Linked DNA regions of Elephas maximus indicus. The protein of the gene in region 1 interacts with the protein of each later gene in a pairwise test. Links are inferred from orthologs where the notes say so. Each region holds a gene or a part of one and is shown on either strand. Other genes may lie near its edges. The genes, in order: RBBP8 and LIMS1.

The links.
Region 2: the proteins of RBBP8 (region 1) and LIMS1 interact in a two-hybrid assay, tested with the Homo sapiens proteins (2 studies listed by BioGRID and IntAct). The two-hybrid records come from large-scale screens. The link is inferred for Elephas maximus indicus from reciprocal best matches to the Homo sapiens genes RBBP8 and LIMS1.

Annotation. Positions count from the first base shown.
Region 1 is NC_064829.1:28,950,337-28,959,413, forward strand, and holds the start of RBBP8 (DNA endonuclease RBBP8), read left to right. Parts: upstream 1-5,078; 5' UTR 5,079-5,284; intron 5,285-8,081; 5' UTR 8,082-8,181; coding exon 8,182-8,290; intron 8,291-9,077. UniProt on the Homo sapiens protein: Endonuclease that cooperates with the MRE11-RAD50-NBN (MRN) complex in DNA-end resection, the first step of double-strand break (DSB) repair through the homologous recombination (HR) pathway.
Region 2 is NC_064835.1:77,144,468-77,153,836, reverse strand, and holds the start of LIMS1 (LIM and senescent cell antigen-like-containing domain protein 1), read left to right. Parts: upstream 1-5,910; 5' UTR 5,911-8,936; coding exon 8,937-9,118; intron 9,119-9,369. UniProt on the Homo sapiens protein: Within the IPP (ILK-PINCH-PARVIN) complex, binds to F-actin, promoting F-actin bundling, a process required to generate force for actin cytoskeleton reorganization and subsequent dynamic cell adhesion events such as cell spreading and migration.

The DNA.
Region 1 (9,077 bases):
TTCCCACAGCTTCCATCATGATAGTATTATATGTATGGTCGCAGGACAATGCAGTATAATACTATATATTTATTTATTGGGTGAAAGGTAAGGTAAAGTTTAGTTTTTCAAGCTTTCCAAAACAAAATCAACTTTTCTACTCTACGGTCTTAGTGATCACACTTAAGTTCTTTTTATCACCTCTACCGCAGTTAAGTTCTCGTTGTTGTTAGATGACCTTGAATCAGTTTTGACTCATAGTGAACCCATGTGACACAGTACAACTGCCCATGGGATTTTTTCAGGATTTTTTATGGAAGCAGAATGCCAGGTCTTTCTCTGGCAGAGTTGTTGGGTGGGTTCAAACCACCAACCTTTTGATTAACAGCCGAGCACTTAACCATTGTACCACCAGGGCTGAATTGCCCAATAGAGTTTCCAAGGAGTGGCTGGTGGATTTGAACTAGCAACTTCTGGTTAGCAGAAATATTTGTTTAGAATTTTGGCAGCTTCTTTTTTTTTCAGGAAGAGGTGTTGGACTTTACCAAATGCCTTTCCCAACAAAAAAAGCCCCAGCCTAGATGGCTTCACTGGAGAAATTCTACCAAACATTCAGAGAAGAGTTGTCAACAATCCCACTCAGACTATTCCAGTACATAGAAAAGGAAAGAATACTCCCTAACTCATTGTACAAAGCCAGCATAACCCTGATACCAAAGCCTGCCAAAGATACCACAAAAGCAAAAAAGAAAGAAAATTACAGACCAATATCCCTCACGAATACAGACACAAAAATTCTCAACAAAAATCTAGCCAAAAGAATACAATAGCATATCAAAAAATAATACATCATGATCAGGTGGGATTCATATCATGGATGCAAGGGTTCAACATTAGAAAATCAATCAACATAATTCGCCACATAAATAAAACAAAGGAAAAGAATCACACGTTTATATCAATTGACATAGAAAAGGCACTTGGTAAAGTCCAACACCTCTTCCTGAAAAAAAAAAAAAAAAAGGACTCTCAGTAGAATAGGAATAAAACCCACTGCCGTTGAGTCGAAATCCGACTCATAGCGACCCACAGAACAGAGTAGAACTGCCCCTTAGAGCTTCCAAGGAGCACCTGGTGGATTCGAACTGCTGATCTCTTGGTTAGCAGCCATAGCACTTAACCACTACGCCACCAGGGTTTCCAGAATAGGAGTAGAAGGATAAATTCCTCAACATAATTGGGCATAAAGGCATACATGCAAGACCAACAGCCAACAGTATTCTCAATGGACAGAGATTGAAAGCATTCTCCTTGAGGACAGGAACAAGATAACCTGCTGCCATCAAGTCAATCCTGACTCATAGCGACCCTACAGGACAGAGTAGAACTGCCCCATAGAGTAGCCAAGGAGTGCCTGGTGGATTCAAACTGCTGACCTTTTGGTTAGCAGCTGTAGCTCTTAATCACTATGCCACCAGGGTTTCCAAGTTGAGAAAGGGAAAGGGAAGCTTAGGAGAATAACACCTGTTGAGCCCAATTGTCTTTTTTAATGAGGAGGCTAGGTGGTCTGCAGAGAAAGCTATAGAGGCTTGAAGACAATAATGAAGTTTTGGAAGAGGCGAAAGGAAATAGGAGAAGGAGCTGAACAAAGACAATTTTAAGGATTAACGGATGCCTTACATTAGGTCTGACACCATGTAATTTTAGTCATATCAGTCTAACCTGCTATGTGATTTTTCCCCTCACAACACTAAGCTGCTCAGTTGTAGGAATTAAGCATAGGTTGTAGAATCAACAATTTCATTTTTAAAACAGCTTGAGTTAGATGATTTTAAAATCTACATGAATTCCAAAACTCTACAGTTTTAAGAATCTTACAGTTTTACTGCTACCAGATAATTTTTAAATCCAACATTCTAACCAGGATTTCAAATGGGTTACCCATGTGCTAAGACTTAAAATCCCAAGCACTGGGCGTGAGGTGGTTGGAGCTGGAAGCGGCCTGTCCTTTTATCACAAGCCATGATATTCATGTTCTAAGTATGCCATGATTGAAAAAGTTTGGGAAGCATTATTTTAAGTTATAAAATATGGGAATACAAGTATCACAAAGAGTGATGCTTCTCTGTGAAAAGAAGTTTCCTCAGCAGATCCTTGGAGACTGGGTCTCAAAGCTACATTTGGGGGCAAATATCTATTAGTATGTCTACCATTTCTACTGTTAAGGTGACCATTATAAAACCTCATAAAGATGATCTAAGAATTTTTAATATACCCAAAGGCTTCCACTAACATAAAATACAGGAATCCAGTGAGAGATGCTTCATTCAGTCATTTATCCAGACTACTGACTCTGTGGCAGGCACTAAGTTAAGTTTCTGGAGATAAAATGATGAAGAAGACATGGCTTTTTACTTCAAGAAACTAATGGGGAGACAAATCAAGAATTAAAACTGTGATCAGTATAAGATGGGGAGGTATACGGTACTATAAGATCATCTAACAAAAGAGATCATAAAAGCAAGATAAAAGGATGATTAATAATTAGCTAGGCAAAGGGCAAGAAGCCCTGGTGGTGCAGTGGTTAAAGCGCTCAACTGTGAACCAAAAGGTCAGCAGTTTGAAACCACCAGCAGCTTTGAAGGAGAAAGATGTGGAACTCTGCTTCTGCAGAAACTGACGACCTCGGAAACACCACGAGGTCACTATAAATAGGAATCGACTGGACGCCAGTGGGTTTGACAGCAGTGGGTTAGGCAAAGAGTGGCAATGGGTTTGGTCAAGAATTCCAGGAAGAGGAAACAGCATATAAAGGCCCTTTCGGCTGGGAGATTGTAACTCTCAAGACACTAAAAAAAAAAAAAAGCCAGAAAGGCCAGAGGGTAGAGTATGGTTGAAAATGAAGCTGGAGAGGTAGTAGAGGAGTTCAAAGAGGCTTTCTTTAAAGCCACTGAAAGGTTTTACGCAGCAGAGTGACCTTATCAGACTTACTTTCAAGATTACAGAAGCTACCGTGTAGAGAAATTTTCTCAAAGTGGGCACAATTTAATGTGGGAGGAGAAGATATTAGATTTCTATTCTTTTTTCTCATCCTTTAAAAATGTGTTACAATGTTCATAGTCTACTAGTTCAGTAGTAATAACAAATGGCATTTATTGAACACGTACCATGCATCTGACCACTATGCTGAGCAGTTAACATGTATTAACTCATTTGATCTTCATAACCGTGTGAGATTTATACTATTATTATCCTTATTTTACAGGTAGGAAAATGAGTAACTAGCCCAGGTCTCTTAATTGGGAAATACTAGAGTCTGGCTCAAAAGCCTATAACTTACTCATTAGATTATATACCATCTTTCAGCAATATATGCATACAACTTAAATATATACATGAATTAGAATTTTTTTTCTGAACATAGTGAAAAGAAAGGCTTAGGTGGCACGGTTGGTTGGGTGAATATGAAAAATAAACTAGCAGTACAGTCAGAACTGACTTGATGGCAATGGGTTTGGCTTGGTTTTTAAACTAGGTAAGAGATAATGGTATCTTGGATTATGGTGGTGATGGAGAGAAAGGGATGGATCTGGGAGATATTTGGTAATTAAAATTGACATGACTTCTGATGAACTGAAGAAGCCCTTGTAGCACAGTGTTAAAGCACTCAGTGGCTAACCTAAAGGTCAGTGGTTTGAATCCACCAGCAAAAGATGTGGCAGTCTGCTTCCGTGAAGATTTACAGCCTTGGAAACCCTACGGGGCAGTTCTACTCTGTCCTATAAGGTCACTATGAGTCGGAATCGACTCAACAGCTACAGGTTTGGTTTGGTTTGATGGATTGGAATATGGAGGTTAAGAGACAAGGCGTCAAGGATAATTCTTTTGATCTGACTTGCAAAAAGGGATTGGACAGTGGAGCTGCTGGCAGAAGCCAGAGGAACAGGTTAGGTCATTGGGCTACAACAGTTTTTCTTTACACCACAAACACACTGTTCTGTCAATGTGCTGTTACATGGCAACTGGTTATGTCTGGGTTCTTTCCATTTATAAGAAAGCTCTCCTCTTCCATTAAAAAACTTACAAAAAGTTTCATTCTGCCAATTATAACTCCTATGTTGTATTAAAAATGGCAAAGACGGCTTTTCATCCATTTTCTTTAAAAAGTTTTATGAAGTCTTATCAAATTTAGATGTGAATGATAGTTACTCTAACAGGATAATGAAGGTTCAAAACTCCTCTATAAAGATACCAACTAAGGTCCTGTTAAGTCCAAGATCAAGGAGTAAATACAATACTCATCCACCAACGTATGCAACGAATGGAAAAACTACCTTTACGCTTCGTATTTATTATTTGCTAAATACTACCTAATTTCTAAAAGTTTATAGTATTTCCTGTTCTCTTCCCAAGATTTTGAAGTATTATACAAAAATTCTGGACTTGTTTAAAAGATATTGCGATACTAGTCTACTTTATTTTCTTCAACTTCATTGGTAAAATTCCCATGATCCAAAAATGCTTCCTTTAGAAATTAAGATAAATAGGAAAACATACTATCAGTTTGAAAATCATGAACAGCTACAGGAAACGCCGGTTTAAAAAAAAAAAAATGACCTAATAGCATGCTGTCCGATAAACAATGCTGGTCACTTCTGATTCCTTCTCCTTTCAGGTTCACGAGAAACAGTCAATTTAACGTCAGCAAAGATATGCATCCTTTTGCTATACCACCCGGTCTTGTCAGGTCACATCACTGAACTGTAGGTAATAACTACAAGGCAGAACACTACTTCAGACGATCCGTGTACAATCTCACATCAGTTAATTTTAACTTTCCATGTGGAAGATGTCACGCATACACGCTCTGCCTGTTCGGCTAACTTTCGCACACACGGAGGACTTGAAGATCTCCGGACACAACGGCTTTGAGTTTTCCCCAGGGCATCTCAAACACGCTCTGGCGATGGCCGGGGCGTCCCACCACTCCCAGTCTTCGCCCTCTCCACAGCGCGGGGGTCTTGAGGGGCGCTGCCTCGCTAGGCTGCAGGAGGAAGGGGCGTGACGTGGCGGGAACTCCCGCGTGACGTCACGCGGGCTCCCGGCGGGGCGGGCCAGGCCGCCTGACCTTCCCCCTCCCCCGGAAAAGCGCGGGCTGCCCTGAGGGGCCGGTTTCCCGCCCGGCGATTGGCTGTGTGGTGGAGGAAAGGGGTGAAAGAGAAGCGAGCAGCTGTGAGTTCACAGTCTGGAGGGTGTCCGCTTCCTCGTCGGGGCTTTTGGGAATCTCCAGGCAATCTTGGAAGCTGTGAGTAGGAGAACCTCCTTCCCCCAGCCCGAAGCGCTAGATCGTGGCGCTGCTTCCGGTTGGGACTGAAGAGCGCGCGCTAAGCGACCAGGTTTCGCTCCCGGGGTGGCGGTGGCCGCAGGGTTCCCGGGCTGCGTCTGAGGAAGTAGGCTGGGGCCAGGCTGTACTAATACAATGGGCCAGAGGGAGGACGAGCTCGCTTTCCATTCTGCTCCCTTCGTCTCCCGCGCGGCTTGAAGAGCCTCCCAGCGCCGAGCCTGCCTCGCGCATGCGCCGACCCCGCCCGCGTCAGTCACGCTTTTCCCTGCCGAGCGTTTTCGTGAGGTTCAGCCGCGAAACCTGCCGGCGCTGGTGAGAGGTGATGGATGAGGGTCCTGCGACCAGGGCTTCCACATTCACTCCCCCAGCAGTTTGTCTTGGACCCTTGTGTGACCTCGACTTGTGCTGTGACTGGCAACAGATCTTTCATTTGTTTTCACTGAAGTACCTTTCGTGTCAGTTTACTTGTAAACACCTCAGCATTATAGCTCTTTTATAGATAGGACTTTTTTAAAATTTTAACTTAACCATACCATTATCATAACCAAGAAAATTAACGGCTGTTCCCTGATATTATCTAAAATTCAGTGCATGTTCCGTTTTCATTGCCTGGAGAAGTACCTGATCTAAATATTTGAAAAGCTTAATAAGAATGTATTTTTAATATTTCTGTAATGCTTTGCAGTTTACCAGGTAGCTTCACCAAAAGGTCAGCAGTTCGAATCCACTAGCAGCTATGGGGCAATCTTACTCTGTCCTGTAGGGTCTCCATGAGTCAAAATTGACTGGATGGTAGGTTTTCACACATAATCGTGCTGTCTTTAGAAATGTCATTGCTTATTTTAGTCTTCCTCAGGGACCTCAAGAAATCGATATCGAGAAACAAGTCAGTTTGGGCACTTGTTAGTAGTGGTAAGGCATTGACTAATAAACCAGGTGCGAAGTTTAAGTAGACTTGTTAATCATTTTACTTTTTTAGTGGTAGCATGGCCTGTAGTTAATGGCTTCAGTTCAAGAACACATTTAAATATTTACTACTCCATTTGCACTTAATAGCCTGTTGCTACCTTCAGTGGCTGCAGGAGTAATAATAACTTAATCATTTACCTTTACTCTGAGACAAAGTAGCTTTACCCTAATGGCCTTATTCCTGTAAATATTAAATGTTTTATATTCATAAATCTTACCTGTATCTGTATCTTGCTCACCAACTTCCCTTCTTATGAGAAAGCTATACAGCTTCTCACGTGTGCTGATACTTAAATGATCTGCCTTACTCTCTTATAATTTATGTGTCTTTATGTTTGTGAGTACTTGTTTAAAAAAAAAAAACAGAAAACCAAACCCACTGCTGTTGAGTCGATTTTGACCCATAGCGACCCCAGAAGATTTCTGTCATGGATTGAATTATGACCCCCCAAAAATGTGTGTATCAGTTGGGCTGGGCCATGATTCCTGGTATTGTATTATTTTCCTATACGTTGTAAATCCTGCGTCTGTGACGTTAATGAGGGAGGATGGGAGGCAGTTGTGTTAGTGAGGCAGGACTGAACCTACAGGATTGGATTGTGTCTTGATGCAGTCTCTTCAGATAGAAAAGAGAGAAGTAAGCAGAGAGACAGGGGACCTCATACCACCAAGAAAGCAGTGCCAGGAGCAGAGTGCATCCTTTGGACCTGGGGTCCCTGCACACAGAAGCTCCAAGTCTGGGGGAAGATTGATGAGAAGGCAGACAGAGAAGGCCTTCCCCTGGAACTGACACCCTCCATTTGAACTTTTAGTCTGCTTTACTGGGAGAAACTAAACTTATCTTTGCTAAAGCCATCCACTTGTGGTGTTTCTGTTATAGCAGCCCTACATAACTAACACAATTTCCAAGGCTGTAAATCTCAACAAAAAGCAGACTGCCACATCCTTCACCTGAGGAGCAGCTGGTGGTTTCGAATTGCTGACCTTTCAGTTAGAAGTGGATTCTTTAGCCACTGTGCCACCAGGGCTCCTGAGTACTTTTTAAGTCAGGAATATTTCAGGGTGTTTTTCTGGTTTGGGGTTTGATATGTTGTTGCACCCTACATCAATCCAAAAATAAAACAATACATTTTTTATAATGTGAAATGAATACTGACCATGGATGATTAAGAACCATTCATTAATAGAATCCTTCAATTTAACAAGAACCCTGATGGCTCAATGGGTAATCCCTCGGCTGGTAACCAAAAGGTTGGTGGTTCGAACCCACCAAGTGCTTCGTGGGAGAAAGATGTAGCAGTCTGCTTCCATAATGATTTACAGCCTTGGAATCCCTATGGGGCAGCTCTACTCTGTCCTATAGGGTCACTGTAAGTTAAATCGACCCCATGGCAAAGGTTTTTCGATTTAGCATCATTTTAGGTAATGGCTTCTTTCTAGAAGGAATAAGATAAAATTTACCCGAAAATTTAGTTTAACTAAAGACCAAATAAGGAGCCCTGGTGGCTCAACGGTTAAGCCCTAGGCTGATAACCAAAAGGTTGGCGGTTTGAACCCACCCCACAGGGCTGTTCTGTCTCGTCTGTCACATGGGGTAGCTATGAGTTGATGGCACCTAGCAACAACAAAGGCCAAATTACTGAAATCAGGGCTTTTCTCATCTTAATCATCTTCTTTCCTCACCCCCCCCACACATTTTCAGTTTCAAGTGGACGTGTGTTTCTTCTATGACTGTAAATCACATAAAAATAAATGCAAAATTTATTTGTGTTGTGATCTGTTGTTTCAGGCATTTCAGCTGTCTCCAAAGACAACTTCATGCTTACATAATGTAACAGAAAGAGTCATAAATCATTAGGCAAAGAGAAGCGTGAAGCATATTCAGCAAGATGAACATCTCTGGAAGCAGTTGTGGAAGCCCTAATTCTGCAGATATATCTAATGACTTTAAGGAACTTTGGGCAAAACTAAAGGAGTACCATGATAAAGAGGTTCAAGGTAAAAACTTTTCTCAAATACTGATTTGAGAAGTATTCATACTATATTTTTTTGAGACTTGTAGTAATAACTATAGTAATAACTAACTTTGTGCAGTAGTTTTATGTCTTTATAGAAGTGAGAAATGACTAAGTTCAAAGAGCTGATCATTGTGTGACCTTGATTACTGTAATTTTTTTGTGTTTCATTTTTACGGTTGAGTTGTTATTTTTCAGCTGTTGGCAATTACTACAGCACATAGTTCTTGCACAATTTGTAGTTACTTACTTGTGGTAATATGTATAAAAAAAAAAAGTGTAGTGGAAAAGGTATAAAAATTGGTGTCCGAAGACCTGGATTTTAGTTCTGATTTTATTCACCTACTTGCTCTGTGATCTCAGCCAAGTCACTTAACCTCTAAACTTAATTTTCTTCAGAAAAATGGGCGTTTATTCACAGGATTATTTATAGACGTACTCTACTTAAGTCATTTAACAACCCATTGGAATACTGTTTGCTGTTAAGCATTGAAATACAAAGGTGAATGACAGTTTACCTTCAAAGAGCCTGCAGTCTAACAGAGATAGAGTCATGTAAATATAATTACAGTACAATAAAATAAGAGCTAAAAGGTTTGTATAAAGTGCTTTGGGTAGAAAGAGGATTGAGCAGTTGTGCTTGGGAGGAGTATATATTGTGTTAAAATATACTCCATATAAAGAAGCTTTCTATTAAAGCTAAGCTCAAGGTTTGATACTAAGTTTTAATATGCTTTATCTAATTCTGTGATATTAACATAACATAGTTT
Region 2 (9,369 bases), on another chromosome or scaffold:
GATACATTCAGGATTCTTCACCAACACCATAATTCAAAGGCAGCAGTTCTTCAGTCTTCCTTTTTTCTTGTCCAGTTTTTGCGTGCATATGAGGTGATTAAAAAAACATCATGGTTTGGGTCAGGCACACCTTAGTCCTCAAAGTGACATCTTTGCTTTTTAACACTTTAAAAAGGTCTTTTGCAGCAATGCATTGTTTGATTTCTTGACAGCTACTTCCATGGGCATTGATTGTGGATCCAGGTAAAATGAAATCCTTGACAACTTCAGTCTTTTCTCTGTTTGTCATGATGTTGCGTATTGGTCCAGTGGTGAGGATTTTTGTTTTCTTTATGTTGAGGTATGATCCATACCGAAGGCTGTAGAAGTGCTTCACCAGAACTAGACCTATAAGTAGGCTGTCAGCACTTGTGAAAATGGTTAAGATTAACTAACTGAGTTATTGATATAACTTGTGCCCGGTATGGGCAGTTTCAGCCGCTGTTTTGTGTTACGCAGTCCTTGTGTGCGCTGAGGCAGCCGTGCAGAGATGGCACTGCCTGCTGTGACGCTGTCCCTCGGTGCACCTCTGCCCGATGGCTTTTTGAAAAGGGCGTTCTTTTCTGCCTGTGGGCTTATGCAGTAAAAGTAGGACATTTTTTCTTCAGATACAAGAGGAAGAATTTTTGCCTCGCCGTCTTTTATTAGAAGCGCTATATTTTCATTCTTGATTTCAGGAATACAAGAGTGCCTGCTCATTTTTTTCCTGAAAATTTTAAACCTGATGAGTTGTGCGTCACTCATTTTCCTGAGGAGGGAAGTGAATACACTTGATAAAATGTCACAAGGTTTAGGGTGCTTTGAATCTCTCTCCATCACCAAAAATTAATATTAAATTTTACTAAAATCTTACCCACTCACCAACTTGGTGAGTGGGTAAGATTTTAATAAAATTTAATGTGTTTTGTGTTGTAAAGATGTTCCTTATCTCCTCAAGAACATCACAAACCCCTTAATGTAACAACCAGATGCAAATAGCCTCCTGCTCACAGCTTCATTGGAATTGCTGGGCATTGGTAAGGGTATTTGGGATGGTTTGGAGGGCCTGGACTGGGGGCTCCACAGTGTATAGAGGAATAATTTAATTTGCTTTTTAAATACCTGTTAAGTGAGGAATTTTTTCACTTGGTCTATTCATTTATTTTTAACATACAGTAGCAAAAGCCAAAATGCCTCTGCCCTACTTAGCTGAGAGTGCCAATGAGCAATACCAGCACAGGCATGTAAAAAATGTGCGCTTTTCTTCCTTTTAAACTAGTTTGAGAAAATCTGTGCCTCCTCTCTCTCACTCTCTTACCCCTTGTTAATGAGTGTTTTCTTTTTGCTTGTGCAATCGAAGTAGGATACAGTTTTAACAGACAAGACAAAATGGCATATTAACTGCAACCTCACATCCTTTGCTGGCCACCTTTGTCCGTTTCCCCACTGTCTGTTGAAGGAAAACACAGTGCATTTGTCCTGGAACCTGGAAAATGGGAAGGAACTTTCCAACTCCATTATCTTTACTTGCATGTCATGCTTGTTTTGTTTTTGGTAGTCTGGGGAAATTGAGATTAAATTTTCCATTTGAGTGGGTTAGAGAATCACAATGAAAATAATTCATGTTTCATTTGGTAATTTAACCAGACTGTCTCTCAACACTTTGAATATCCCAGTATGACACAGAAGGCTTTGACTGAAGTCATTCTAGTAGTTGTTATTGCCAAGTACCTGGTTTAGTGATCTGTTAATGCAAATCTGTTTGTGGAATGGGGTAAAACATGAGTAGCATGGCCCTTTTGATTTATAAGAGTCCCGTGGTTTAGAGGCAGTTGGTCAAAATGTTCAGCTTCTCTTTTAAAACCCCATAGATGAAATATTTGGCAATGGTGCACATAATTCAATTGTTGCTTTTTTTAAAAAAATAAAAAATACTATTTTTTTTAAAGAGCTGCCTTTTGGTTTTGGCAGTTCTGCTCATGATTATATCCAGGCTTTAAGTATTTGAGCTCCTGGAAATAGCTGCAATTTTTTTGGTATGATATCTCTAAGTAGGTTACTTATCTTGGACTTGTGACTTATTATCAAAGATGGAATTTGTTTTGGCAGAAATGATGGCGTTAGCTAGACTGATGGAATCTGAAGCACTGCAGCATTCCTTGCAGACCATCAGAGTGAGCCAACGTAACGTCAGATACACCGCGTACGGCCAGACTCTGTCCCAGTAGATCAGTAACGTAACGTCAGATACACCGCGTACGGCCAGACTCTGTCCCGGTAGATCAGTAACGTAATGTCAGATACACCGCGTACGGCCAGACTCTGTCCCGGTAGATCGAGCCTTCAGTAAGTGGTAGGGCTTGGCACACAGTAGATGATCAGAAGATGTTGAGTTTATGAAATATAAATCTGTCTGCTTTGAATGGTTAGAGGGGCTGTTTGAGGTTCAGACCCATCTTCTGAAATCTTCCAAAACCCCCAATTAGCCATGGTGGTAAGGAGTGCTAATCAGATTATAGAACCTCGTGGGAGGAACCTGAAGGGAAACCGGGGCCTAAGGCAACCCTAGTTCTTCAGGCCAGAAAAGTACTTAGGTGTTTGCAGAAGCCTTCTGAGAGGCCCCACTGTTGAGACAAAACTGGCTTTTTTGACAGGAGCTTCCCACTCTGCCGCCATTGCTATTCTGACGCACCGCTGTGGTGTCAGTAGGAGTTTCAGTCCAGGGAGTTCAGATAAATAATTTTCTCAAGGTTACAGTTACAGGCTAGAGGGATTGTTTGCATTTCTTAGAGTGACATTACTAAGTGCCAGAAATGGTTTAAAAGTAACAAAACGCCTGAATCTAAAGCCTGAGCACTGGTATTTTTTTGACCTTAAATTATTGCCTATCCTCTTGGAAAAAGAGTACACATACATTTCTCTTAGCTCTGCTCTGTGGTGGCTAAATAAAACACGTGGCCGACTGAGCCTACAGTATGCTTCTGGGAGAACATGCCCCCTAACCTTTCAGACCTGGTGTCGCAGTGGTTAAGAGCTCTGCCCCTAACCAAAAGGTCAGCAGTTTGATTCCACCAGCTGCTCCTCGGAAACCCTGTGGGCCAGTTCTACTCCATCTGTAGTGTTGCTGTGAGTCAGAATCAACTCAATGGCAACGGGTTTGGTTTTTTTGGTTTGGAACCTTTCAGTGACCGCAGTGTTACTGATCCTTACTCAGGACACCGGGGGCGTACAAAAGAATCGTGTTCATTCAGCACTGGTTATGGAATTAAAAATCTGTATCATTATATGCTTGCATATTGGAAGAAACCATGTATACTGTTTCCACAGAGGTTATATACAGTCACAGAGGCTGTGACTTTTAGTCACTCGTTTATTCATTTAACAAATACCTCCAGTGGTGGGCTAGACACTTCTGGTATACCTCTTTAGGTCCGTTGTAAGCACATAGTGAGTTTCATATGTTCAGAGATGATGTAACATAATATAAATAAGTAAACAATGTGATAATGTAAAAAACAAAGACTTTTTAAGAAACTATAGACGTTCCCAGAAGAGCTGCTAAAGAAAGGGCAGCAGCCTATTTGTGCTGTCATTAGGTAGCTAAAATGTCAGAGCTTACTTAGCCAGACAACTGCAGTGGACGGACAGAGCTCTCGTGATTTGCCTTGATCCGCATTTTAGTTCCTTTGTCGTTCCAGGGTAAGCAGTATGTGTGAGGCACAGAGAATCTTTCTGCTTGCTTTATCTACCTTGACAGTAAATGGGTTAGGGTCCTTTGCTCTTAGGGAGAGGTTAATGGGAAGGAGATGTATAATACAAGATCTGGCTTTTTCTGCCCCGTCTTTTCTTCCTGCAGAGCCTCATTCTCTCCTCTCACTCCTGCTTCCCAGTTAACATGTCTCTTGATGATAAATGAAAACGAAAGGAGGAAAGAATAAGATCTGGTAAAATTGTAAGCTGAGAAACAGAGCCACACATCTGTCTTACACCCACATAAATGCTGTTCTCGTTGATAAAACTGACTGATTAAACAGTTTTAAGATGTTTTCGTAGTATATGATAGCTTTGATCAGAAAGCTCATTCATATTAAGGTGACGTCTGTTGAAGAGTTCTATTTAAAGTATCTGTGTGCCATGTATTCTCATTAACATAATCCCAGCTCCAAGTAGAGGAAACCAGAAAAAAAGGGAGGTCTCCTGCTTGCTTCCTCTTGCACATGGTGTTCTCTAAGTAGCATAACTTGAAGAGGCAAGAGAATTATTACTAAATTGCCAGCACTGATGTGATTTAGCGGAAGGACATTATAGAACTATCTTGGTTGAAGATGTGGAGCAGTTTAGTGGCTGATGGGGGTTAGGATTTTATTCCTGTTCAAGCCACGGTCCTCTTCTGATGGCTTTCAACTAGTAAGAACCGTGTGCTTGGCAGACTCAGAACACAAAAACAAAATACAAACTAAAAATAATTTTGCTTTATTTTTAACTTAATGTCTTGTGATCAAGAATCAAAGAAAAAAAAATTTTAGTAACCTCTTTAGTTTCATCAAAGGGGCAGTTAAGATTAGTAGAATACACACACATACATTCATTTTACACCTCTGTAATATTTGAAATTCTTCCTAATACATGTGTTACTTTTCTTCCCCTTCCTGTCAATAAGGATTATCTGTACTTATTTGTGTGTGTGTATATGCACACAAAAGACATACATACCTAGTAAAAATTGGGATCACACATCTATTAGAACAGCTAAAATAAAAATAATGACAATACCAAATGTTGATGACTGTGTGGAGAAACTAGATCTCTCCAGTATTGCTGATGGGAATGTAAAATGATACAGCCACTCTGGAAGATAGTTCAGTTTTTTAAAAAAACTAAATATAAATTTAGCATACAACCCAACAGTTAAACACTCCCAGGCATTTATCCCAGAAAAATGAAAACACATTCATGCAGAAACTTGTACACAAAAGATGTTCATAGCAGCTTTATGCCCAGTAGCCAAAACTGGAAACTGCTGGTACCTAAATGTCCTTCTATGGGTGAATGGTTAACTAACTATGGTACATCTATACTGTAGAATACTACTGAGCAATAAAAAAAAAAAAAAAAAAGGGTGCAAAGTGTTGATACACACAACTTAGATGCACCTCAAGGAAGCTCATGCTAAGCAAAAAAAGCCCATCTTAAAAGGTCACGTTGTGTAATTCCACTTATATAACATTCTGTAAATGACGAAATCATATAGATGGAAAACAGATAAGTGGTTGCCGGAGGTTAGGGATGAGGGAACAGCAGTGTGCATGATGTGACTATCAAGGTATAAATCGTTCTGTATCTTGGTTGTGGTCGTGATTACAGGACTGTACACATGGGATAAAATGACCTAGAACTATACACACACGTTGTACTGATGTCAGATTCCTGGTTTTGATGTTGTACCATGATTACGTAAGATGTAGTCCTTGGGGGAAATTGAGAGAAGAGCACATGGGACCTCTCTGTGCTATCTTTGCAACTTCCTATGACTATAATTATTTTGAAACAAAAAGTTAAAAATATTTGCAGACCTTTTGCATTATTTTTAGTTCCTTGGCACATGAGGGATTTCATTGAAGAGTTATATGTTCATGAACCATTGACTTTTTTCATAATTTTACTTTCTGTTTCATAAAAATTAGACTACTTGTTATGAAGTAAGATAATTTTTTTTTTGAACTGCTGACTCAAAGTGCATGGCAGACTTGTACAGCTAATTTGCTCTTTTATTATTTCCCCTAGCTAGATTAAATAAATGGATTATTACTCCCCCCCACCCCCCCACCCCCCCACTTTAAGGAGCCCTGGTGATGCAGTGATTAAGCCCTCAGCTGCTAACTGAAAGGCTCTGCACAAGAAAGACCTGGAGATCTGTTCCCGTAAAGGTTACAGCCGAGGAAAACCCTATGTGGCAGTTCTACTCTGTCATACAGTGTTGCTGGGAGTCAGAAACCACACCAAGCACACAATAGCAGCAACCCCCACTTTCCTCACTCAGCAACCACTGAGTGCCTGCTAAGTGCTAGACTCTGTTCAAGGGGCTATAGATCCAGACGTGAACAAGACAAATGTCCTGCCCTTATGGAGCTTACATTTTTGGTATGTGAAGTGAGGCTGAAAGAAGGCAAAGAGTTTGTCCCCATCTGCCCTGGTGTTCTGTTTGAACTACAGGGAAAGAGAAGTCAGCCGGTGACTGCTTCAGTGTTGCACCTCTAGGCTGATGTCTCCAGGTAGCAGTAGCTCAGTGTGGATGGAGTGTTTTGGATCTGACAGTAGGATAACAGGGTTTGGAATCACTGGAGCTAGTATAGAATAGGAAGTGTGTAGAATATTATAAGGAAGACAAACAGACAGCCTAATAGCTTCAGGACTGAGGTGTAGTCCTCTATATCAGTTGCTGGAAGCATCAGCATAGGATGAGTTTCACAAGGAGGTAAAAAACAAAACAAAACATCGGACTTGGAACCTTCCGCTTACTAGCTGGGTGACTTTGAGGACGTTACTTAGCCTCTCTGAGAAGATAATGGGAGTCTTATTTTTTATGCAGGATGAATGAACTCTGTATGAAAGTTCATTGTAAACTGAAAAGTTGGAAAGATTATTGTGGAGAGCACAGTGGTGGTGGGGCGCCTTACCTTTTTTACCATTAAATCATTGTCTAGAATCTTCTCCCTGGAGAGGACAAGTCCCCATGTTCCTGGAACTGGCCCCAGTACACGCTAGAATGGATAATCAAAGATAATGGAAATAAAAATTGATTCTGAGTTTTGAAGAGAGGAGCATCTTAGGTGAAATAGAAATGTAAATAGAAGATGATTAGGTTAACTGTGAAGGGAAGTATCTTGGCAAAACCCGTGTAGTACCCCACCCTCTACCATGTTACCCCTAGTTCTGTGCATTATGTTTCTGGTCTGAGAGTCAAGGTGTTTATGTGTGTATCTGTGTCTGTCTGTGTATCTGTCTCTGTCTGTCTCTCTCTTTCCTCCCCTGACTCCTCTCTCTTATCCACATGGTCATTGTAAAAACAAAAATTGGGAAATGTAGGTAAGTGAAAGGAGAAAATAAAAGCCTGTTTAAAAATGGTGATTCCCTCACTCCATCATCCTTAGGCTTGTCATGGGCAGGCTCTGAGCACCCAGCCTTTGAGTTCCTGACCAGTCCTCTGAGATCTTTAGGGTTCAAAGTAGGTAGCTTTAGTCTTATTTTCTGCTTCTAGTCACATTTTGTCCCACTCCCTAACCTTTTCTAGTCAACCTGTTTGCTCCCTAGTAATTATTTTTAATGATTTTCCCACGAGAGGATTAAAAACATAGACTCAGAATCAGACTACCTTGGCTTTAATCTTGGCTTTCTGGGGGTTGTTTAACACCTCGGGCCTCAGATATGAGCCCTGGTGGCACACTGGTTAAAGTGCTCAGCTGCTAACCGACTGGTGGTCCGCTCAAACCCACCAGCCACTCCACCAGAGAAAGATTCCAGCTTTGGAAACCTTATGGGGGAGTCTTGCTCTGTCCTGTAGGGTTGCTGTGAGTCAGAATTGATTCGAAAGCAGTGGGTTTGGTTTTGGGTTTTGGTGCCTCAGTTTCCTCATCTGCAAATAAAACTTCCTTCAAAGGAATGTGTGGTAAAGATTAAATGATGAGTGCTTATTGAACAGTGAGCACTTATTAACTCCCAAGTATTTATAATTATTTCTAGAGAGTCTCAGCTGCATTTTCCCGTTTGCTGCTGGTTTCATGGCTTTCCTGTGTCTATAGTGACCTGCTCTGCTGATCGTTGTTCCTGTTGCCTGTTGCTCTAGATTTTCTTTTACAGACTCCCCTTGGTACCTTGATTTTGCTGGGTTGGCGCCTTGGTGCTGAGGGGACTAGGGCTTTAGAAAGATTCTGAACCCACTTGTTGCCCGTGACACACATCATCATCATCACTGCTAATCCTAATAATTCTGTAAGATGTCCCAAACCAAACCACTGCTGTCCAGTCGGTTCTGACTCACAGCAACCCTGTGGTGTGGAATGACTATAGCAAAAACACCATAACATTCTTTAATGAATAGTACACTTAATGACATCCTTAGTTATGATAAAGACCCAGAACTTTGGCTCACCTGAGTTACAGTATTAGCTGGAAATCAGTAGAAAAAAATGTTATAACTGAATTCCACCTCTTTTCTGTTTCCACTTGAGTCCATTCATTCCGCCACATTACTGAGCTCTCACTGTGCACCAGGAGTACTGGGATAAATAGAAGTGAAAACAGCCCTTAATTTCAGGGACTCACTGCCTAGTTGGGGGGAAGCCGATAAAAAGGCACCTGTGGCAAGTATGCCCTGAAATTATGGTCAGAGAAGCTCGGTTTCCCCTGCCCTTCAGAGTGTACCAGCGCCATGAGCATCACCGGGGGGCTTATTAGAAATGCAGGATTTCTGGGGAATGTTTACAAGCTCTCCAGCAGATTCTTATGCCCACCAAAGTTGAGAAGCACAGTGTTAGTCTTGTTTAAGCCTGATAACAAATACCCAGGACATGTGGACATTTCTTTCTCTTGAAGTCCTATGGAACAGGCCTCTATTGCTGTGCTGTAGTGTTTACGGGCACAGTCCGCCGCGGAGGCTGTGTTACTGCTTTGTGGAATGTTTTCCTGAGCTTCCAGAAAGTCTCAGTAAATCAGGACCTTCATGCTGGCTGACGGCCTTGCTGCCGGAGCTCTTAACTTGAAGCTCTAGTAGAGACCCTGGCAAGCCTGGCGGGCTGACGTACGTGGGAATAGTGGGAGTGACCCCTGGCTGGGAAGTGGGGGAGTCCTAGATATTGTTTCTCCTGCTTCTGTGCCCTGCCGCTCTTTTCCCTGGGCTCAGTGCTCTCAAGCCCTCCAGGATGGCGCTCCCGGGCAGAGTACGTCCCTGTGCTATCCCAGAGAATGAAGAAATCCCCCAGACTGTGCTTAACAACGCCCACGAGGCTAATGGGAACGAAGACGAGAGGGCTGTGTCCAAACTGCAGCGCAGGCACAGTGACGTAAAAGTCTACAAGGAGTTTTGTGACTTTTATGCGAAATTGTAAGTGTCTCCTCTCGGGGAGAACTGCTCTTCCAGGTTCTCAGTTCACTAGCCATTTTGACATGGCTGATACTGTTTTATTTACTTTACTTTCAGTGATAGTTTTTCTTTCTGCGAGGCAGCTAGATTGCCTTGTCATGTAAAAAAACTTCCACTAGATGAAATGCGGATGTGACAGAAAATGCCACCTTTAAAGTAAGAGTAATAAAGTCTTTGTCTTCAGTAGGTCCCCAATAATAGTACGGATATTT